2 linked regions of the Pelodiscus sinensis genome follow. The protein of the gene in region 1 binds, or shares a complex with, the protein of each later gene. Links are inferred from orthologs where the notes say so. Each region holds a gene or a part of one and is shown on either strand. Other genes may lie near its edges.

Evidence for each region.
Region 2: the proteins of XIRP2 (region 1) and NEBL are in contact, whole or in part, in a crystal structure (PDB 4F14), measured with the Homo sapiens proteins. The link is inferred for Pelodiscus sinensis from reciprocal best matches to the Homo sapiens genes XIRP2 and NEBL. Residues at the interface, in NP_689594.4 of Homo sapiens: Pro2420, Pro2421, Pro2422, Thr2423, Leu2424, Pro2425, Lys2426, Pro2427; in NP_006384.1 of Homo sapiens: Tyr963, Asp964, Tyr965, Asp969, Asp971, Glu972, Ile987, Asp988, Asp989, Gly990, Trp991, Met1004, Pro1006, Asn1008, Tyr1009.

What each region holds. Positions count from the first base shown.
Region 1 is NC_134717.1:37,960,546-37,972,785, forward strand, and holds the start of XIRP2 (xin actin-binding repeat-containing protein 2), read left to right. Parts: upstream 1-6,576; 5' UTR 6,577-7,153; coding exon 7,154-7,306; intron 7,307-9,166; exon of another isoform or gene 9,167-12,240.
Region 2 is NC_134712.1:221,697,708-221,710,193, reverse strand, and holds the start of NEBL (nebulette), read left to right. Parts: upstream 1-7,606; 5' UTR 7,607-7,829; coding exon 7,830-7,889; intron 7,890-7,979; coding exon 7,980-8,051; intron 8,052-12,486. UniProt on the Homo sapiens protein: Binds to actin and plays an important role in the assembly of the Z-disk. May functionally link sarcomeric actin to the desmin intermediate filaments in the heart muscle sarcomeres.

The sequences.
Region 1 (12,240 bases):
CTGCCCCACTGGAGGCTTGTGCCTCATTCCTTCCTCACGTCCTTCCACTTACCCCTCCCTAGCCCCCCTTCCTGATGTCAAATCAAATAAATTTATTTCTGTGAACTCAAACTCTCTTTATTTAACAAAATTGAGGGGGGGGGGGGAGAATGAAACTCTGGTGAGACTGGGGAAAGGAGGCGGGAGAGGGGAGAAGAGAGGGTGGGAGAGGGAAACCTGGGAGGAGGGAGCTGGAAGGGGAAAGCAAAGGGAATAAGGGGGAGGGGAAGCTCAGGGCTCAGAGTTGGGGGTCTCTCTGGACCAACTTGATTTTCATGCAAATCTGCTCCTGGGTTCGCATGTGGCCTTTGATGGCCAGGCTGCCAGCTATCCTCCCATAGATGGCCGCATTCCTCTGTCTAGTGCAGAGATCATGGACGTTGGGGGCATCCCTCCTTGACCAGGAAGGCGCCCGCCTTCTCCGGGCCTTGGCAGGCTTCTGGGAGCTGGCAGACTGCTCCTGGGGAGCAGTGGAGGGCTGGCTGCCAGTGGCTTGCTGGCTCATGTTTTGGGGCCACTGGGTCAGGGGCAGTGACTGCTGGCTCTGGGTTGGCAGGCTTGGAGCTGGCACAGGCACTGTGGCCAGAGACAACCCCTTTAAGGGCTCCGGGGAGGGGGGGAGGGAGAGGAGTGTTCTTGGTTGAGGCTCGAGTGGCCACCAGGGCACCCTGGGAAGGCTGGAGGCAGAGGCAGATGATTATTTGCGGGGCCCAGGGCAGCCCAATTTCGCGGGGCCCTCCTTTGCCATGGTGCATGCGCGGGGCTTCTTGAAGCGCGGGGCCCAGGGTGGCTGCCCCACTCGCCCTGGCTTATATCCGCCCCTGGCTGGAGGCCCTCTATTTTGATATAAGTGTCTACACAGGACTTATTTCAAAATAGCTATTTCGAATTTGGAGTTATTCCTCGTGGAAGGAGGTTTACCAAATTCAAAATAAGCACTCCGCTATTTCAAATTAATTTCAAAATAGCGGTTTGGCTGTGTAGACTCTAGTAAAGTTATTTCAAAATAATGGCTGTGTAGAAAACAGTTCCCAAAGTGGATTTTCCATCTCTGAATTGATATCCCACTGTCCAATAATAATCTGGTGTTGCAAGATTCCACAGAGTGATCATCACTTTCTTTTTCCACTGTCAGAGTAGGTCTTATTTTACTGTTGATGCACTTCAGAGCTGCTGTCAGCTTGCATAAAGCTCCTGGGAAGTGGCCTTGTGCATTTGAAAATTCTCCAGCCACTGCTCATCATCCAATAGCTGCATAACAATGCGATCCCACCAGTCAATGCTTGTTTCCTGGGACCAGAAATGGCTCTCTACCATGTTCAGTTGCTGTGCAACTCCCAACTGCAACCAGGAATTGTTTCATTCTATGACTTGCAGCAAGGCAGCTTAAGTAGCATCGAAATATTCCTGCTATCTTGGCTCTGAAAATACAGCAGGTTAAAGCATGGGGTGTTTGTAATGCTCACAACAAGAATGCACAATTGCCTGGGGTCCACGCTTCTTGGACAATGGTGTATGTGTAGCTAAGCAAGGCTTTTGAAAAAAAAAGGTGTAAAAACACCCTGGGTCATTTGCCATTGCTATCAGAGGAGAGAGGGAGGAAGAAAATTGCATCCTGGGAGGTCAAAGCCATATTTCTATTTCCCCTCTGCAACAATGTTTTGATCCCATGAGGCACGGCAAGCTGTTCCTATAAAACACATATTGCTAGTTGCACTGTGGAATAGCTACCTAAGGCGGACGGCTCTGTGCATCGATGTAAGCAATGCTAATGAGGATGCATTCCACCAACACAATGATTATGGTTTGGATGCACAGCTGACTGACTTAACTGCTGCAATTTCTTTAAAAAACACTACTTTCCTGAAGAACAGAAGGACTGTCTAGGAAAAGAAGAACTATTTTTGTTTATATGAAACCTGACTGGTCAATAGCTGGAATTTAGCTAGAACACAAGAATTACAAAGTCTTCATACATAAGGCTGGATTTCAATTTAAATTAAGTGTAAACATGTCCTCAGGCTTTGTAGATTGCAATGTTGTTCCTATGAGGTGCCATGATACTGAGCATTGCAATGACTAAGTCACTGTTGATCCAGGCTGTAATCTTTTTCATGGTGGAAGAATTAGCACATATGTAATCTCTTTACTAGCATGTGCTCCATGACTATATGAGGAAGAATGCTGGTTTGTTGTCACAGTCATACCTGACCTCATATTTGCATTAAAATGCAGTATCTCACCCTACAATACTGACAGCTGTATCAAATCTGAGAGAACAATCAGCACTCACCTGTCATAACAACCTTCATTGCAACACACACTCATTATTCAGCACTCATTCATTAGCTCCTACCTACTGGAAATTCTCCCTAAATGTGCACTTGCATTCATGATAGACAGCAATGCTTCTGGCAATATCTGCATAACACACTTAACTCACTAGCCAATTAACATATTTATACAGCATCAACACACTGAGCCTTTCACTGACTCTATTAATTATATTTTAATGGATCCAATTTAAAAAGTTCAGCTGGTGGATATTGCATTTCAAGATTTATATTTTTAGGTCTTTGAAAAAAATGCATCACTACTTTTTGTCCTTTTAGCTAAGATTTAATAAGTCTTTTCTCTATACTGTAATATCAGCTTAATGTCTGACACTTCCTCTCTAGCCGTACATTTATTTTGGGATACTAGAGGTTTTCCGAAATAGCAACCCCTCATCTACACAAGCCACCCATTATTTCAAAATATTTTTCGAAATAACGGGCGTGCTATTTTGCCATCCTAGTAAACCTCGTTGCATGGGGATAAGGGATGACTTGAAATAGCGTGTTATTTCAAAATTTGGTGCTATGTCGATGTGCCAAATTTCAAAATAAGCTATTTCAAAATAGATTTAAGATAAGATGTGCAATTTGTGTAGTGCAAATTGTGTATCTTATTTCGAGTTTAGGGTGCCGTGTAGATGCACCCTGAGGGATTATTGTTATTTTGCTGGAGGTGAAGGAGGACTCCATGATCTAATGGGCCTTTTCTGTCTCTAACTGCAATAATCCTATACATCACAGACAATGTAGTGTAAAAATGCAGTGTTTTTAGTTAAATGATGTTTATAGCCATGGGAAACAAATGGCAAAATAATGTCCTCCTATTTATACAAAGCTATTATAAGGAGCCAAACACAGGGAGCTACAGAGAAAGAATCTATAAATCACTTTCACAGATGGGCCTGCCTGTGTTCAGTAGTCTGATATCAGCAGTAGTCCAAGAACAAGATACCTAATTAAACATTTCTTTACCTTTAAACAGGTGTGCCAAGAACTATTATCAGTCAGACCAGTGGTCCAGATTTACACAGCCATTATCAAAAGCAGAATTTGGCACATATGTTTTTAAGTAAACCTATTCCTCCTCTCCATTTTCTATTTAATTTCTTTTCTTTTTTGCATAGCGATGGATATACAAAAGCTCATCTGTGTCTAAATTAACTATTTCAGCTCTCCTAGCCTCCTCACCCCATTTCCTTTTTCTTGTAACAAAGTGATATTCTGCTAACTGTGTAGTAATAAGTTCCATACCAAGATACTAGATTGTTTTCATTATCATAATATCTGAATCACTGCCGCATTATTGCAATTTTATGCCTGTCATTAATTTGAATGGAATTGCACATGTATAAAAATGGAGTTACAATGGTAAATTATACCCTTAATTTTTGTAATGGTGAGGGGAAACCAAAATACTGTTGGAACCATGTGTGAGAATAGCTTTTCCCCAAAATATGCAGGCTGTATAAAAAAAAATCATAGTTGAACTAAACTTAGGACACTACATGGAAGAGGACTTGGAGGTAGGGTTACTACAGAGCTGACAGCCTGATACAGGCCACTGAAAACTATATAGACCCATGAAATCAACAGGAGATATTCCATTAACTTATATGGACTGTGAAACAGGCCCTATGTGGTCATAATACACCTGATGTCCATCACTGCCCTAAACATAAACTAATTTTTGCTAATATCATACTTTGGAATCTGACCTAAGGAAAGTTATGAAAGGCTTTCTCCAGTTCTTCTTTCACATAGAGAAACATACACTTTATAACTTTAATATCTCTCTGGTTTCCCACAACAAAACAAAACAAAATCAAAACTTTCTTAGACTTTTTGCTGTGTAGATAGCACCAAAAGCTGAAATAAGCCATTTCAATTTCAGCTACACAATTGGGCTACGTCTACACTGGCCCCTTCTTCGGAAGAGGCATGCTAATTTCTAACTTTGGAATAGGGAAATCCCCCGCGGGATTTAAATAAACATGGCCACCGCTTTTTTTCCGGCTTGGGGAAAATCCGGAAAAGAGCGTCCAGACTGGCGCGATCCTCCGGAATAAAGCCCTTTTCCGGAGGATCTCTTATTCCTACTTCTTTGTATTCATGCCCTATCAGCATCAAAGCAGCTATTTGCATATATGTGCAACTGCACTTAAGTTGCGGCCCTCGGCATGTACTGTGGGTATCATTGTGGACCCCGGGGCTTCCAAAGTTGAGTAGCCCTGGCCTAGACTGTGCCTACTTCTGTGCCTATTTCAGGTAGGAATAAGAGTTTATTTAAATCCCGCGGGGGATATTTAAATCCCCCGCGGATTTCCCTATTCCAAAGTTAGAAATTAGCATGCCTCTTCCGAAGAAGGGGCCAGTGTAGACGTAGCCTTGGTGTAGCTCAGGTGGCGTAGCTTATTTTGGCTTTAGCTCTGCCGAGTAGACATGCCTTTAGACTCAGCCGCTTTATACTGTCAGGCTATGTCTACACAGCAGGCTTCTTGCTCAAGAAGCCTTTTGAGCAAAAACTTCTTGCACAAGAGCACATCCACACCTCAAAGCACATCTCAAAAGTGATGTACATTTGTGCAAGAGAGCATCCACACTGCATGGACGCTCTTGCGCAAGAAAGCTCTGATGGCCTTCTCCGTGAGTGGAGCTGCGCAGCAAGGCACTGAGACAAGCCACATCAACGCATGGGAGGGAGCTGCCTGCTGGCAGGGGGAGGGGAGATATGTGGCAAAAGGTAGCAGCAAAGCATGCCTACCACGTCTCTGCTCTGTGAGGACTGTGGGAGCTGGTGCTTGGTGGGTCAGGCGGGGGAAAGGAAGGGAGTCTGGGAAGCAAGATTCCTGAGTTCCTTTTCTAGCCATGCTACTTCTCTGCTTGGTGCCTTTAACTTCACATTGATTGTACTGATATTGCAGTAAATATTGTATTGGCAGTTTTTGTTTGATTTGTTAAAATTGTGAAGCCAAAACAAAAAAAGAAGTCAATATAATGGTCTTCTATTGATATGTGTTTTTGTAGTTAAATTCCTGGACTGTTGTGAAGACAAAACAAAAAAAAAATCAATATAATGGTCTTCTGTTAATACGTGTTTTAGTAGTTAAATTGCTGAACTGTCATTGCTCATTAAAAGTGCTGTCATATGGGTGGAAATCAGGTAAATATTGCATTTTATTAATATCAGCAGATCTGATTTAAATGGGGCCTGCGCGTTGTGTAGTCTTGCCATACTCTTTGTATTCATGCCCTATCAGCATCAAAGCAGCTATTTGCATATTTTTGCATATATGTGCAACTGCACTTAAGTTGTGGCCCTCGGCATGTACTGTGGGTATCATTGTGGACCCCGGGGCTTCCAAAGTTGAGTAGCCCTGGCCTAGACTGTGCCCAACTAGGAATACAGACCAGAATAGTCTGTTTACTCATTAAAATATAAAAGTCTGCAGTTCTTTTGGCAAGTCTCTAGTACTATATTTTTAACAAATTACGTAAGAAAGCTTTGTAGTTCTTGAATTCAAGCTAAATTCCAGCTATTGACCAGTCAGACCCCATATGAACAAACATGTTCTTTCTTTTCCTGGACCAATGCCTTCTGTTCTGCAGGAAAGTAATGCCCTTTTTAAAAGAACTGCTTTGTTATTCAGTGGAATTCACAGTGTTGGGTAGGAAATTTTCCACTGGAGAATTTCTGAGCCACAGATTTTTTATTGCAAAAATCCCACCACAGGTGTCCAGTCATCCAGGCATGTGTGTAGCTAGGTCAACTATATATATTTGAGATTTTAATTTATCAGAAAAGTCCTGGACAGTTATCCAAATCCAAAGTGCAAATCCAAAGTGTAAATAACAGCTTTCTAATATCTAATGACTGATATCTCTGTGCCTGCGGTATTTCTGAAAGGTACTTTTGTCAATGAAAATCAGGACCTTAAATACCTTTGTGGCTCTGAACTTGACTTTGAAAAACTGGTTTGGGATGGGACTCCATTCAGAGTGGTTGCACCACAATGAAAAAGAATAGTTACTTAATTGCAAGTGACGTGTTTATGATAGGGCTTTGTTTTTGACCAGGAAGTCTTGGAAGTGCTCCAGACCATGAACTTGAGCAATATTTGTTTTTAGAGTTGAGATTATTAGTGATGCTTTTCCCAGCACTTAACAATCAGGGGTTTCCACATAACAGTTCTTTGGTTGGGTGCGTGCTGCATCTAAGGAAATGAGGGGCAATAGGCTTTTCCTGCGCCTGTTTCCTGCTGGCTGGGACCATTTTTCCCCTGGGAAGTTGCTTATGTCATTGACCGCCTGACGTTGCACTTCCAGAGCCGACCCTTGCTTCCCAGTGAGTCCTCGCCTTTGGGCCTGCCCATGTCTGGGTGCGCCTGCGGGGTCCCACTACACGCCAGGCGCGGGCCTGGGACTGGCGGGCGGGTGTCTCCTTCACGCGTTGGTGCCACGTGTTTTGACCCAGCCGCGTGGTGCTTTTGCAGGGCGCCCTGGAGCCGGCGAAGTTCCCGATCCAGAAGGGCTCCCTGGAGCGCCTCAGGCAGCAGTGGGAGTCCGGCGATGCGCTGAGAGCCGGTCCCCGAAGGGACTCCGCGGGAGGCCGCCGCCGCAGGCGCTCGCCAAGCCCGGAGGGGAAGGCAGCTCGCCCCGCGCCAGCAGCAGCGGCCGCCGCCCTGCGGGAGGAGGAGACCCGAGCAGCTGCAGCCGGCGGCCAAGAGGGCCGAGTTCAGAGCCGGCCGCCGGATAAGAGCCGCGGCAGCAGCAGCAGCACCATGGAGAAAGCGCCGCGGGCCAGCGCGGGGGCTGAAGTGGCCAAGGAGGAGGCGCGGGACGGCCGCCGCAGGCTGGAGCGCTTCGCCATCCCCTGGGAGGAGCTGAGAAGCCGCTTCGAGACCCCCAGCGGCGCGGCAGCGGCAGGCAGGCAGGTAAGAGCCATGGCCTGGTGCCACACACGCGCACCCCAGCCAGCGGCAGCAGCGCCCCGGGAAACTTCCCCTGGGCCTGGCCAGGGGCTGCCGTCAACTCAAGCACGTTAGTCCAGAGCCTGCTGCGTCGTCGGCCTGTGGTCACGTAAATGGAAGGAGACGGCCACCAGAGGCACTGACTAAACCACTTTGGGGGCCAGTACCCCACGGCCTGCCCTACAGGAATTCAGAGAGGCGGCTCTTCCTCCGCCTTGTGTTTGCCCTTCTCTCCTGTGCGTGGAGGTAGTAGCTAGGATCTCGGGCTTTTGCCTTGCCATTATGTACAGCACAGGGATGACGAGCTGATTGACTCTCACTGTTTCTTCCACGTTAAGTACATTAGTGTAAAATTGTCTGTGTGTCACAGGAAGATGGAGCAGACAGTGGTCAAAAATCAGCAAGGGAAAGGGGGAAATGAGGTGATACGACAGGAACCATTTTATGAAATGAAGGTGAGATCAATGAGTACACCAAAGCATTTTTAGATTTCTAATGTATTATGTGGATCCACTGTGTGAAGAAATTTTAATGCTCTCTTCTACAGTAGAGATTTGAAAAAGTTACGGGGAAAAGTTACTAAGGATGCTGTTACATTGTTAACTTGGCAATTTCTAGAATAGAATTTGTTTTAATTAGCTCCTTTGCTACTCAAGGAGTCCCTTGGCGCTTTACAATAATAAGATAGATAAGCAGCACAGGGAGTGTGTAGCAGATGAGGTAGGCACTGTGCATTCAACAATAGTTCACACATTACTTTATTCTTTAAAGACTGTTTTACTGAAGGAAACCCATCTGCCCGAAATATGGGCTATCTGAGAGGGCTTTTTTTCCTCAAGTAGTTCCACAAGATCTTTACTTCTCCCTACACAGCCACTGAATTTAATACCTGGCTCTCATCTGTAGATCTCAAAATGCTTTACAAAGGTCAGTGTCATTAGTCCTGTTTTACAGAGAAGTGAATTGACTTTCCCAAGATTATAGACAAAGTAAGAATCTGGATGCTGAAAGCGATGTTTAGCTTTTCCAATCAGAACAGAAAACAAAGTCATTCTGTGATAGAGAGAATGTTTTTTAATGTATTTAATTTAAAAGAAAGACTTAAGGGTGCTGAGAAGAGATGGTTCTGTGTGTGGAAAGCTGGAGAAAGTGTGTGTTATATTTTGGTGGTTACCATCACTACAGACATGAAATAAAGCCCACACAACAAAACTATGAATGCCAGTAGTCCAGCACATTGAATCATAGAACCGGAAGGGACCTCGAGAGGTAATCCAATCCAGTCCCCTGCAAACACACATCAGTTTCTTCCCCATAGAGCTTTCATATAGCAGCTTAAAAATAAAATAAAAACTAAGACATTTATTTACCTTCTGGATGTGTGCATGCTACTTGAAGTGTGCGGGGGGAGGCAGCTCTGTGTCCCCAGAAGGGGAGGGGCCATGGGCAGAAGAGGGAAGGCCAGGGCAATACTCCTGCCCAGCCACCAGAGCTGTGTGTGGTGTGGCAATCCATCAGGGTATGTCTACACTACCACCCTAGTTCGAACTAGGGTGGTAATGTAGGCAACCGGAGTTGCAAATGAAGCCCGGGATTTGAATTACCCGGGCTTCATTTGCATAAAGCCGGGCGCCGCCATTTTTAAATGTCCGCTAGGCTTCCTAGTCCGAACTACCGTTACCCCTCTTGAAACCTCGAAGCCTAGTCTGAACTACCTAGTCCGTGCCGCATGTAGCCGCAAGGCACGAAGTCCGCACTAGCGGACATTTAAAAATGGCAGCGCCCTGCTTTATGCAAATGAAGCCCGGGAAATTCAAATCCTGGGCTTCATTTGCAACTCCGGTTGCCTACATTACCACCCTAGTTCGAACTAGGGTGGTAGTGTAGACATACCCTCAGTGATTTAAAAGGCCTGGGGCTCTGGCCACTGCTGCCTTTGAATCACTGGGCCCCAAGGCAACTGTCACTGGGCCTGAGATAAAGTGCACAAGTGTTGAGGGCTGGGGGCCAACATTGCTCCACAACAACTGCCTCTGCATATATGGATCTTAACAGGAGCATATGCTGCAGTCTTTAGGGTGTTAGGTCTACTAAAGCTACACGATGACTTATCCAAGGTCCATCCTTGCTCATGCTTTTTTTTATAAGACTGTACCTAAACTAATGCAGAAATTCTTTGGTCTAGTTCCCATGTGAGGAGAAGGCTCTCTTCTGTGGTGTCACCCAAAGGAAGAAAATAAATCTATGTAATTAGCATAGTGTAAAGCACATGTTATAAGCCATCTTTTGTAATTAGGGATAAACACTATATTTTTCAAATACATATGTTTAGTTACACTTAATAATTTTTCAGTATAGGGTATACAGGCAGTCCCCGGGTTACATGGATCCGACTTACATCGGATCCCTACTTACAAACGGGGTGAGGCAACCCCGCACTAGCTGCTTCCCCCCAGCAGACCAGGGAAACGCGAAGCTAGCGCCCCCCTCAGCAGACCAGGGAGACGTGGAGCGGCTTTTCTCAGCAGACACCGCATCTTGAGAATAAAGGACTGAGGGAAGTGAGGTGTGGGAGAATAAAACTGAGCTCTGGAGAAATGTTTGGCTAGAGTTTCCCCTACAATATGTACCAGTTCCGACTTACATACAAATTCAACTTAAGAACAAACCTACAGTCCCTATCTTGTACGTAACCTGGGGACTGCCTGTACTTTTGTTATTGCTGAAGTCAGTGGAAGTTTTGTCTGTGAATAGAGTTGCCAGATGGTTTCAACAAAAATACCGGACATACTTAATATTACATCACAATCTCCATTACATCTTATTTAGAAAATACCAGACATTTATATTTTCTCAATTTGTTTCCCGAACAGAAAGCTCAAATACTGGACTGTTGGGTTCAAAGCTGGACACCTGGCAACCCTATCTGTGAAAGCATATGCTTTCTTCAATTATTACAGAGAAGAAATGATCAGAAAGGCCTTGATCCCGCTGTTGGACAAGCAATGAGGAGTAACAGTTAATTTGAGGGAAGGGTTTTGGATCGGACTACTGCGTCTACATGCGGCGAGTTAATTCGGGCTACCAGCTTTTTAAAATGGCGACCGGCCACGAATACGCTAATCAAGCGCGGGATATTTAAATCCCATGCTTCATTAGCAACTTCGGTATGCTTAATTTGTCTTCCTAGTTCGAACTAAGGGGCAAGTATAGACATACCCTAACGTACTACCTACAAAATTACAAGGCTACAGGGGGTAAGGGATTGGAATGCAGGAAGGGGTGTGTGGGATTTGGGAGGGAATCTAGATGGAGGAGGGGATTGTGACCTGGGACAGGTAAGAGGGGTGTAGGGTTTGGGTTACGTAGGGTATGGGTGCAGGAACAGGGCTTGGGGGGGATGGAGCAGCTGGAGAGCCAGAGGCAGGCTCTGGCTAGGAGGTGCTTACCTGAGCGGCTCCCAGTCAGCAGTTCAGCAGGTTCCTTAACCAGATTCCCTGCCTGCTCCACCCCCACACGCTACTCATAGCAGTTGCCTGCATGGGCTACGTGTGCTGCTCTGAACACAGTGAGCCAGGGGGTAGAAGTAATTCTTGCGCTAGCTCCCATTGGCCGGAAACTAGCCAATGAGAGCTGTGAGATTGTGCTGAGGGTGGGAACAGCTAGAGAAGTCTCCTTCCATCCCCCCCCAGCTTGCAGTATTTAGAGCTGCACACATGGTTCCTGCAACTTTGTTGCAAGGGGATGTGGATAGCAACTGCTTTGAACACTAAGGAGAGGGTAAAGGGCTTGTTTATTAAGTTAAAACTGGGAAGGGAGGGGGATCTCACTCATACACTCAACCACACTTACAATCCCAGGCAGGATGATAAGGCAAGCAGAAGTCAGTTCAAGTTATCTGATCTTCCCGTGTTGACTCCTGAGCTGGTCTGCTGGCCAGGCGATCTGAGCAGAGGGCGTTCTCCGGGAGGTTCCACTTGATGGTCAACCCACTGTGTCTGTGCCCCTCTCTCTTTTAAGGATCAGTCACGTGTAGCTTCTGGGTCCCTGGGCCTCTCGGGCTGTGTGCACTGTTTTTTACTCCTGCTGTTTACCTCAGAGTTTTCCCACCTCTTGTGTCCACCACAGACATTCTTCTGCACTCACTCAGGGAAGAGATAGGGGGTTAACATATAACACTTTAACAGCTTAGGGAGCCAAACAACATCGTTAACAGGTCAGAAAGAGAACAACCTCCATTTTAACTCTTTCCTTGCTCCTCCTCCACCTCCAACACAACAGACTTCTCTAAGTGGCATGCAGTAGCGGGGCAGGCAGGAAGCGCTGGGTGGGGAGCTGGATCCAGCAGTTCGGCAGGCCAAATCCAGCCTGCAAGCCATATTTTGCCCATCACAATCTAGATCATATCTGACAGATGTTTGTCCAATCTGCTCTTAAAAATCTTAAATGATGGAGATTCTACAACCCCCGTAAGCAATTGATTCCATTGCTGAACCACCGTGGTAGTTAGGAAGTTTTTCCTAATGTCCAATTTAAGCCCATTGCTTCTTGCTAAGTCCTATGATCAAAGGTCACTTGAAAGAAATATAAAAGCAATATGAAATATACATGTAAAGAAGACCAGCAAATATATCCAGGAAAGTGAAAAGTGTTAATTCCAATCACTTGCATAGATTTATTCAGAATATCTTGAAAAATCTTGGGGGTTAGTGTTTGATTCTCTTGATTTTCTAAAATAATAAAAAATGTAAGTTGATGCATTATTGAGTAAAGAGCTACAAGAAACAGCAATAACAGTTTTAAGGAAGAGGAAAGGAACTGATCTGGCAAAAGAGGGAGTTTTAGGCACATTAATATAAGTAGGAACATTTTTCAAACATGACTGCTTGTTTTTAGGT
Region 2 (12,486 bases), on another chromosome or scaffold:
CTTCACGTAAATTATTACAACATTGATTAAGACAATTATACCCCCCAACAATCAGGGAAAAATGGGTTAAGTAGAAAATCTGACTATGAAGCTCAGTGTGTGTGTTTTAAGTCCTTCTTAGAAGAGACAGTGTTCCTTGACTTAAAAGCCGACTCTCCATGCACACCGGCTCCTGCACACCCTCCCCCCACACACTGCTGCCTCTGATACAGAGGCAGCAGCACAGAGGGAAAAGGCAGGACATGTGACTCCCCCTGTGTAATGTGTAACCATTGAAATCTTCAGCAGTTACATGTTTACCTTAATAAATACATTTTAACACCCCCAGTTAAAACCCTGCTGGTAAAGTGAGTTTCTGCTAATTAGTTCCATGAGTGAAGTGCTCTGGGTAGTAACTCATGTACTTATGGAGCCAGAGTGACAAAGCACATTTTCATGTCTCAGTGGGTTATTGCACTGTCTGCTCCATTTAATGTATAACTGAAGTAAAATATAAGTTGAACCTCTCTAATCCAACACTTTTGGGACCTGACCAATGTTGAACCAGAGAATTTGCTGAACCATGAGAGGTCAATATTGTCTAGCATCATTACCACACTTCCACAGCTTACTGGTCTCTTAGAGGACATTCAAGGCTAAATTAGAGCTAGATAACTGCACAGAACACTGAGAACTAGGACTGGTGGCTGTAAACACACTTCAGGTGACTGAGGAAAACCTGTCAACCCCCATGGTAAGTGGACATACAGCTAACTAAAATTGTGCTGGGCCAGAGAATGCTGGACTAGAGAGGTTCAACCTGTATTAGAAAATTCAGATACAACAAATACAGATAACCAAGCCAATTTCCAACAAAGCCTACGAGGAAGAAATCATGTGTGTCTTGGAAAAATATATAGCTTAAGCTTTCAGGGGAAAAAAAGTCACAAAATGGGCGAGGGTTACCAACTGATGGATCTAATTATAGCAAAAACAAAATGTACAAGTAAAGAGCTAATTTTCCCATTGTGCTTCATGGGAGTCCACCTGTTAGGCAACTGGATTCTAAACAGCAGTGGCACAAGAAAACTCACCAGAGAAACATATATACAGGGTAGATGCCCTATATCCCAGATATTGCTACACTGAAAATACTGCTGCCAGAGAGTCCATCAGTTGAAGTTCCTATATCAGTTCCATAATGTTTATTTGTATGGTAGAGATTCCCAAACTGCAGTCAGGTACATCTTTTCTAAAATGATAGATTATCTTAAACCCTATTTGAGTGTGATCTGACTGGATGAGGAATGGGAATGTCTTCTGTCTTATAAGATTAGCTGATGGAAAATAAAAACCTGTCTATTTATTTGGTTCCTGTAATCCTTTCTTCTGCATGGGATCTGCAAACCAATCAAGTGTTCTTTTTACTTGAAAGATATTAAGGTGAATTCTTGAGTCCTCATTATACTGACTTTCATAGTTTTTCCTTAGAAGAAAATAAATCTGGACAAGATGCAGATTTTAAGAAGTGTTTGATGCAGTACCTGACTACCCTTTTTAGCTTAGTTTGAATAGATTTAGAAGAAGAGGAGCTACAGTCCCTATTCAATTTCCCTTCTACTTCTGATATATAGGATATGGTTGCTTCTTCTTCCATAGAAACATTGAGCAGCCTACTCAAGTGAACATTACTTTTCTGGAGGAATTTATCAAGACCATTGTGATATACATTGTTCTATAAGTTATGACACGTTTTGCACCTTCTTCTGAAGTAGTTACAGGTCATCCTTGCTATAAGTTCAAGATATCATAGAATCATAGAATACTAGGACTGGAAAGGATCTCGAGAGGTCATCGAGTCCAGTCCCCTTCCCACATGGCAGGACCAAATGCTGTCTAAACCATCCCTGATAGACATTTATCTAACCTACTCTTAAATATCTCCAGAGATAGGGATTCCACAACCTCCCTGGGCAATTTATTCCAGTGTTTGACTGCCCTGACAGTTAGGAACTTTTTCCTAATGTCCAACCTAAACCTCCCTTGCTGCAGTTTAAGCCCATTGCTTCTTGTTCTATCCTCAGAGGCCAAGATGAACAAGTTTTCTCCCTCCTCCTTATGACACCCTTTTAGATATCTGAAAATGGCTATCATGTCCCCCATCAGTCTTCTCTTTTTCTAAACTAAACAAACCCAATTCTTTCAGCCTTCCTTAATAGGTCATGTTCGCTAGATCTTTAATCATTCTTGTTGCTCTTCTCTGGACCCTCTCCAATTTCTCCACATCTTTCTTGAAATGCGGTGCCCAGAACTGGACACAATACTCCAACTGAGGCCTAACCAGCACAGAGTAGAGCGGAAGAATGACTTCTCGTGTCTTGCTCACAACACACCTGTTAATGCATCCCAGAATCATGTTTGCTTTCTTTGCAACAGCATCACACTGCTGACTCATATTCAGCTTGTGGTCCACTATAATCCCTAGATCCCTTTCTGCCGTATTCTTTCCTAGACAGTTGCTTCCCATTCTCTGTGTGAAATGGATTGTTCCTTCCTAAGTGGAGCACTTTACATTTGTCTTTATTAAACTTCATCCTGTTTACCTCAGACCATTTCTCCTATTTGTCCAGATCATTTTGAATTATGACCCTATCCTCCAGATTAGTCACAACCCCTCCCAGCTTGGTATCATCTGCAAACTTAATAAGCGTACTTTCTATGCCAATATCTAAATCGTTGATGAAGATATTGAACAGAGCCGGTCCCAAAACAGAGCCCTGCGGAACCCCACTTGTTATACCTTTCCAGCAGGATTGTGAACCATTAATAACTACTATCTGAGTACGATTATCCAGCCAGTTATGCACCCACCTTATAGTAGCCCCATCTAAGTTGTATTTGCCTAGTTTATTGATAAGAATATCATGCGAGACCGTATCAAACGCCTTACTAAAGTCTAGGTATACCACATCCACCGCTTCTCCCTTATCCACAAGACTCGTTATCCTATCAAAGAAAGCTATCAGATTGGTTTGACAGGATTTATTCTTTACAAATCCATGCTGGCTGTTCCCTATCATCTTGCTACCTTCCAAGAGTTTACAGGTGATTTCCTTAATTACTTGCTCCATTATCTTTCCTGGCACAGAAGTTAAACTAACTGGTCTGTAGTTTCCTGGGTTGTTCTTATTTCCCTTTTTATATATGGGCACTATATTTGCCCTTTTCCAGTCTTCTGGAATGTCTCCTGTCTCCCATGATTTTCCAAAGATGATAGCTTAGAGGCTCAGATACCTCCTCTATCAGCTCCTTGAGTATTCTAGGATGTATTTCATCAGGCCCTGGTGACTTGCAGGCATCTAACATTTCTAAGTGATTTTTAACTTGTTCTTTTTTTCTTTTATGTTCTAAACCTCCCCCCTTCCCACTTGCATTCACTATGTTAGGCATTCCTTCAGACTTCTTGGTGAAGACCAAAACAAAGAAATCATTAAGCATCGCTGCCATTTCCAAGTTTCCTGTTACTGTTTCTCCCTCCTCACTGACCGGTGGGCCTAACCTGTCCTTGGTCTTCCTCTTGCTTCTAATGTATTTATAAAAAGTCTTCTTGTTTCCCTTTATTCCCGTAGCTAGTTTGAGCTCATTTTGTGCCTTTGCCTTTCTAATCTTGCTCCTGCATTCCTGTGTTGTTTGCCTATATGTTCCAAAAAACGTGAACTTATAGCAAAACAACTTAAAGTGGGAAATGCATTAGTTCCTACAGGCATCAACGACTTTAGTGCAGAATGGATGTATACCCGAGCGACTTATAGCGGGGACACCCTGTACTCCAGATGACATTTTGCAAAATAACTAGTAAAAAACCCCAAACCCACTATGAAATGTTTCAGCAGATCAGAATTGACAGAGGGCAAAGTAGCGTCATACCACACTGATGCTAATAATTGAAGTTCTTGATTACTCAATTTATCTGTTTTTCTTCTCCTTTAGTACATTGTGGTACACACTACATAATACATCTGTAAGAGTAAGCGTCAGGGTTTTTTTTTTTTTTGCTTGCTTTTTAAATCCTTGTGCAATTGGGTTGTACTAAATCTATGATGATTTTATGCTGGAAAGGCTGGCTGTGGATTGCAGTATTTATACTGGAAAGTGTTTTCTTACTAGAGCACAAGGTAAGTGCATGTTTTTGTGGTTAAACTGTGGGAAAACATTTATGATCATTTTAGTGATGTAAACAGTGTTAGGGTAAATTCAGGCTATATTTTATGGTAGTACCTCTAGTTTGTTTTTTACTAGAGTAAAAATAAGAGCAACATAAATGATAGCTGTCCCACCTTCTCAGAAGTGGCTGGCGTGTCCCTCTCTGCTGCCTTGGGGTGGGATCAGGGGGCCTCTGCACTGCCCCTACCCCAAGTGATGGCTCTGGGAGCAACAGCCAACGGGAGTTGTGGGGGCAATGCCTTCAAGCAGGGGCAGCGTGCAGAGCCACCAAGCTCCCTTACCTAGGGGTTGCAGAAAGGCTGCTTTGGAGAGTGATGTGGGGACAGGGCAAGCTGGAAGCTTTCCTTGGCCCCACTGCACTGTTGATCAGCCCCATTAGGTAAACGCCTGGCCAGAGCCTGCACCCTCACCCTCTCCTGCACCCAACCCGCGCTTGAGCCCTGAACTTCCTTCCACATCTAAACTCTCTTCCAGAGTCCGTACCACTTCTGCACCCCAATCCTGTCCCCTAGCCCCGAGCCCCTGCTTCACCAAAATTCCCTTCCAGAGCCAGTACCCCATCCTCCATCCAAAACCCTTCTCCAGGCTCAGCCCAGAGCCCCCTCCCACACTGCAAACCCTTTATCCCCAGTCAAATGAAAATAAGTGAAGGTTTGGGAGAGCAAGTCATGGAGGAAGTCATGGTTGTGGGCCTTGCAGAGGGGGTGGAGGAAGAAGGTGAGGCACGGGTGGGTACATGTGTATAGACAGGCACCAGGGAAACTAACACTCCTACCCCCTGCATTTTAAACTATGTAGTCTTAGTTTTTCTTAACAAATCTCTTTCGGGACTGTATTTCAGTGAGCTTATTGCCAAAAGAGTTGCTTCTCTGTCACTTTGTTGGATGACATATTATCCAGCAGAGCCCTGTGTTTTTGGTGGACGGCCGGCATCTGATAGTGTCTGCTTAGTGCCTTCTGTCCCCTGGAGACTGCCACACCGAATCGTTCTATATTGTATTATAGCTGTGGTGGTGTGTTGTGGCATGATTTCCCTTCCACTCCCTTAGAAATTGTAATTTTGGCATTTCTTTCCTCAATATGATTAGTTATGAAACCCTCAATTCTCTAGATGTGTAGCTAATGGAAGTCTGCTGAAAGGTCCAGCATATTTGAATAAACTGTGGGCTGGAGGGAGGAGGAGGCCTATAAAAAATATAGCTGATCCTGCTCTTTCAGAAATAAAAACTTAGATTATGGTAAGGAAAAAGCTGATCTTGCTATGGAGAAAACATTGCAGGAAAATTACAATTAAGATGTAATTACTGTTGCATCAGTACTCTGAATATCCATTATTTGTAGTGTTAATCTTTTAAGTAATCTAAAAATCCAAGCAGTTCAGAATTTGTAATTTTTGACCAGTTGACTTTCAGTGGAAAAATAGCAGCTTAGCCCATGCTGAAGTTTTGCAAAATGTAGCAATTACTTTTATGCTTATTAAAGTCTCCTCCATTCTCCCTTAATTATTCTGACATCTTTCCTTTCCAAATATATTGAATTTGGGGGAGGAACAAGGAAATTTTAAGTGCAGAGCCTTTTATTTATAATGCAGAGATATTTGCGTTTTTCAACATTTCACCTTGGTATCAACACCAGAAGTCCACAACTCATCGCTGTACTGCATTTGTGTTGTCTATAACAAGTGCTCTGTATGCCAGAGAAGCGAATTGCCACATCATGTAGCAATTACTATAGTTGCCCAGAAAGACATTTATTATGCCTGACATTTGCAGAAGTGACCAGTTGTTGTGAGTGCTTGACCTCACCATTGTAGCAAAAATTGTCCAATTGTTGTTGTTGGAGATTTTGGGGCCCAATTTTTAGAGATGCGGTATGTACCTACAGCTCCTAAAGAAGTCAATGGGAAGTGTGGCGGCACAACAACTCAGGAAATCAGGCCTTATGGGTGTCAATTTGGGTGCCCACAATGACTGTCACTCTCAAAATGTAGGAGCTTATTTATTAAAACAGCAAGATAAGTCATTTGAAATCTTTGTCTATCATTAATGCATAAGTGCCTTCTGTCTGTGGGTTACAGTAGGTTGAGAGTTGTCTGTTTTTCTCAAATATTAAAAAACTCTAAACCTCCTTATACTTTTTGCTCAGGCACAAATGTTCTGTTTGTTTTCATGTCTTTTTCTAATGAAGTGCTCTTGTTCCAAACAACAAATGGGAGGCATATGTTAGCCACAATTACATTTTGGTATTTTGGGAAGTTTACATTCAAACACTACACATTCCTTATGTTTTCTATGTGGATATCGGCTCCAAGAACACATAGAAATCTACTACCATAGACCTGTGAGATGAAGCCTGGATGTGGACTTCACTGCAGTGGAATCTCTTTGTGGGATGCAGTATGAAGTTGTGATGTGATGTGGTAGCATTAGGAAAATAAAATCACATTTAGAATGATTGTCGATCCAGCTAGCTTTTTTACTTTGAACCTTACAATACATTCGTACAGAGCAGCAGGTGAAATAACTTCTTCTAGTAGTAAGGCAGCTTCCATTCCAATAGATCTATGCTCAGAGCAGCTGGGGCGCTGCCGGGTAGGTCCCCACAGCGCCGCACCTCAGCACTGCGGGGATCAACCCAGCAGCACCCCAGCTGCTCTACCCCAGGTGTCCCCAAGTTAGCCGCTGCTGAAACTGATCAGCGGCTGATTCCAGGAAGACCGGGGGAGGGGCAGCTAGTTTCCCCTCCCCCCCCCCCCCCAGCAGACCAGGGAGATGCGGGTGGCGGGACCGCCGAGACGCGCCGCGGTCCCGCCCGCGAGCTCCGCGGCTTTGCTCCGCGTCTCCCTGGTCTGCTGGGGGAGACGTAAGTCGGATCCGCGTAACTCGGGGACTGCCTGTATATGTATGATCATGGTATATTATCTTCTGTAGAGTGTTGATATGTGTGTATGTATGAATATTACTTTAGCTGATATGAGGCCGGAAGCATTTTAAGAGTATTGAAAGGAACATTTTAGATTTCATCCTTACAGAAAGGAACCTTTTCAGTTAGGAGCATGAAAAATAACATATATTACATTCTAAAATTACATTTAATAAAGCATTTGTGAATTATCCAAACTCTCTGTATTAGAAAAGTAAGGGTATATGTTCCTTTTCTGTACAAACTTTATTTAGACTGAGTGAAGAAGTTTTATGACAGCTGATTTGGGGTCTGAGATATCTTAAAAGCTAGAACTGAATGGTTTCCCCATAATATTAGGATTCATGTCACCCTTTTGAGCCAGCTAATTTCATTAAATTATTTACCTTGCATAGTTACTGAATTACAGTGCTTTAATTAAATGTGTCTTAGACATTTAGGCATTGTTTACTTATACTTTATCTGTAAGAAAGCACTAGCTCGGTTAGCAAGGCCATCTGTAATGTCTTCTAGGTCACTCATATGGAATTTTTCTGATAAAGACTTTCAAGTGTTGTCTAAATAAGGAAGAAGCCTTGGTAAGGTTAAACTTAGTGAAGGACACAAGAGGAGCCTACATCATAGAAAAGTAGTAGAACATAAACAGTTTGCTGTAGCAGTGGCCTTTTACATTTTTAACTATATTTTTTAAATATTAAAAAAGAATGCCTCTCATTCAGGATTTCAAGGAGGATGAAAGTGAAGAGGAGGAAGAAGAAGAAAAGGTGGTGGCAGTGATAACTGAAAAGGAGCTTCTTTTTTCACTGTTTTAGGTTAGTGATATTGAAATGCTTTCTTTTTTTTTTTTTTGATAGGTGTTCCTTAAGCCTGTTATTGAGGACAGAAACATGGAACTGGCCAGAAGATGCACTGAAATTATAAGTGATGTAAGTGATTGTAACCATTTGTATCCTTTAATTAAATTCCTTTCTTTAAAAGTTTTTTTGTATTATTCTTATTTCTTCGTATTTGTAAAATGTAGCTGGAGGTGCCCATCCTAAATTCTGAGCGCCTGCATGATAGAGTAAAACATACAATAATAATATAAAGGTGCTATCAAAGAATATATGTATGAGGAAACTCCATTAAAGAGTGATAGTATCTCCTAAAGGCACTCAGTTAACAAATGCCAAATGAGTTATTAAAGGAATCTAATGTATGTCTTTATTTGGCACACATACATTGGATCAGATCCTTAGTGGTCATAATTTTGAGGAGTTCTATTTTACATCCGTTTTATTTGTCAGCTGAGGACCTGGTCCTCTGAGTGAATTATGAAAGTGGAGGTTTGGGTTTGTATTTATTGTGGAAACTTGAGTCCCAGGAGGAACTTTGCAAATGTGCAGTAATTGAGGTTCTGTTTGTGATGGGATTGCTTTCCTTCGTGGATTAAGTATATATAGTTACTAACAGCAAGATAAACCATTATATGAGAGATGGTGATTTGCCTTTAATGATCTTTCTAACCAGCTCTAGGCTGGGATGTTTTGGCTCTTGAGTAGCAGGACTACAAATTGGGGGCTGGTTCACCTTGTATTATAACATGATGTATAAACATTTTGTGACACTATTATCCAAGGTGAATAAGTATGTTGACTTTGTGAGATTAATACATGCAGAAACTAGACTACAGAGGATGCAGAAAATTCATTACTGGAGGATGTTTATTCAGGAAGAATAGATGGCCACTAGAAAAATGATTAATCTGGAATGGAGTTATCATGCTGGGTAGAGAATGAAGCTTGAAAGGGTCAAAACTTTTTTTCTGCCTGAATGTTGTGTGGGAATACGTTAATTTTGGTGTGGGCTGGGTATTAGATACAGCCTTAAGAGAGGCCAGTAAGATGATAACTCAGTAACATCAAATTATCTTAAGAAGTTATACAAGTTATATTAATATTTTTATCAAAGGTACTAATGGTTATCCATGTGTTTTTATTGGAAAGGTACTGAGTTTAATACAATACAAGCCTGTCAAGTCAGATAAAAGCCACAGTGAAAATGAAGCATTAAGTTGACCTGAAAGCCATTTATTCTTTCAATACTACTCATTTCTAGACGTAATTGATTGCTGTCACAAAGTCAAAAAATACCCTGAACAGTGCTGATAAACTCTTTCTTTAAATTAGGAATTATTATTGAAAAGTGTATCGGTGGTTGTGGTGGCTGCTGCTATTGTTCAGTAGATAAATATTATGAATATAACTTTCTTTCATTTTTTTTGTGTAGGTTTGGAGGCTAAAATGAATAAATAAGTTAAAATGAGCTTCAAACTCAGTAATGGTTCAGAGAGGCAGCTTTTGGTGAAAGTGTGTGTTAGATTTTCACTGAGATATGTGAAGCTTTCAAAGGATAATGATTCCTAATCCTGCATGATATTATTATAAGAAGTTGTAATGGTCCAGAGCCAATATAATATGAAAGGGAATTCTTTTTAATATACTAAAATGGAACCCACATTTTGAGCCTGATCCATTACTCACTAAAATCATTGGATTTGTTTTTATTGGGTATAGTGGGTATTAGAGCAGGTTCAAAGTAAATTTTTTTAATCCTTCCAAACCTTCACCCTAACTGAATTTTCACTATCACTAGAAAAGCCCTACAGTTCTCAGGGAGGAAATTCCCCCTCTATAACTTCTTCATTCTAGGAATGGTGCCAGAATCTCTTAACTCTTTTTAGTTACAAGAAGACGCACACAGCTATGAAGCTGCTGGCAGTTTCTAGGGGAATTGTCTTCACTTGCTTCTGCCAGCAGCTGCACCAAGTTTGGGAACAGAGCACAGTGAATATTCCAGTTTGCTTTTGGATCCAACCATGTTTATAGCTCTTTTTTATAAACATTTTACACAACTATTTAGGGAGGAGCTATTATTCACGCAAATATGGAGATGGATTAGTGTATTTACTTGGTAATGAACAAAATTTACCTGAAAACCTCTCTCTCTCTATACACATACACCCATGTGAACACACACGCACACAGAGGCTTTCAGACCCAATTTGCTCATTGCCAAGTGGAAAATGTGGAAGGGAAAGGGACTTGCAATGAAGGTAATACGGGAAAGTCCAACAGAAATAGGTTTTAATGACTTTGTGTGGCTTGCAGTTTTACCCTAAAATGACATTGTGATAGCTGGAGCACATGACCTTATGACTACAAGCCTGGGTTATTTTCTTTCCTTCCTTGCGAGGCTGTCAACACATATTCTGTCAAAATGGAATGGCATGATTGCTCATAGCTTGAGATATAATGATGGTGGTATTCTCATCTTTCATGCTTTAGTATCTGACTTGAAATTGGCACTATTATTGTTAAAGCCCTTTATGGCATGTAAGCCTCTGGTCTTGTTCAGGGAGGTATCTGTTCTCACATGCCACTGTTCCAACAATTCTTCCATTGCAGTCAGCCGATGTTCACACTTTGTGATGATCCCTATGTTGCTTCCCTCTCAGATACATCCAATTTAATTTCTTTTAATTAAATAATAGTTTTAAAGATGCCTTTAATTTTCACTTATGTTGGACTTTTGCGTGACTTTCCTTTCTAGCCCCTTTGCTTTCAACATTTACATTGGATGCCTTAATTTGTTTTTATTGTTCTTTTTTAAAAGGGGATATGGGTGCTGTTGTGGGGGAGGTAGGAAGCTGAATACAAATAAAGTTGTTAAGCAAATAATCTTAGTCCTTTTATAGAAGGAAAATAGCTTGCCTCTTGATTCATCATACTGTATTTCAGATGTGCATGTTGCTAATGTTTCCTTTAGCAAATTCCAATTAAATATAATGCTGCTCACTATCTAATTTGCCACATAATGTAGTCCAAATTGTAGTTCTTTCTGATTCAGCATCTCCTTGCCATTGGTTGGACATTGTGAAGATTAGATCCTGCCAGAACTTTAATTGCCGTTTTTGTGAATTAATAGTGTTTAATGATAGCTAATAAAAATTAATTGAAAATGAATTTGTTGCCGTTCGGATTTCCTTTGTTTTCTTGTCTTTAACTACAAGAGAATTCTAGGTACTACACTGTGGTTCTGAGAATTGTCCGTAAACTGGAGACAAAAATTATTTATTGTTGGTTAAAATGAGAAGAGTAATTATGACTCGGTTAACTGTTGTTTCAAGCTGTTTTTCTCTGTATTGGATATTGAATGTGAATGCATGATAAATTATGTCTTAATTAAATCCTTATTGAATGTAATTTCTCTAATGTTTCAGAGTTTGATTTTCATTTTAAGATTCATATCCAATTTGAACAAATTGTTCAGGATATCATTTGTTGCTGTTAAAAGCTAATAATAGCCGGTGTGTACCATTGTTCCTGTGCCAGATTCTGCCCTCAATTACACATGTGCAAATGTATTGAGCGTATCCATATAACTTCTGTAGGGCTGCATAGTGACTGAATTTGAACTAACAGAGTTTGGTCCTTTGACTCTTCTTTTGCAATTGTATCCCACTCAGTACACCTACTCAATGTAGCTTTCTGTTTCCCATCTAGTGGGATCTGCAGTACATAAGTGTTCAAGAGGCAGCTACTGCCTTTCAGTTAACAGATGAGTCTTTTAGCTCAGTTGCTGAGACATACGTTTTTGATTCAGAAGTCCTGGTTTGACTGCTTCTGCTGCTGATCCACCCATGAGCATTGTGTGACAAATAGTGGCCCCTATCAGGTGTTAAGCTGAAATTATTTCTGCAGGTTGGAATAAGATTCCATTATAGGATTCTGTGTGTAGTTCATTCCTACTAATTGTAGCAGTCTGTATTTCTGTAGTGACTGAGCCATGCATAAAGGTTAATGAGCCTAATCTAGCCTTGCCTAGGAAATTCAGATCTTTTAACTCAGGCAGTAGAGGCTTATGCTTTTAGAGTCAAAGGTACCGGGTTTAACCCCTGCTGTCACGGCCTTCTGAGAGGCATCACATTATGTTGGAATTTCAAATACTGGTTTCTAGACACATTTACTGGTTTTAGGGACACATTTTCAAAGCTGGACATAGACATGCCTGCTTGCAATTCATTGAAGGCACAAATACCAGATGTGTTTGTACAAATGGCTACATAGGCTCCTAATTGGCACTGTGAACATGCAAATACTCTATGCACATGCAGCATATATTTGTGCACATAATTTTCAATACATAGCTATATATGTGCAAAACTGTATGTGCCTAAATATGAAAAATTGGCATTTAAATTTCAGATTGCTTCCATTTAAAATAAATATCAAGTACAACATTAATTCATTAAGGACCCAATCCAACTCCCATTGAATTCAAGTTAAAGACTCACATTAACTCCAATGGAAATTGGCTCAA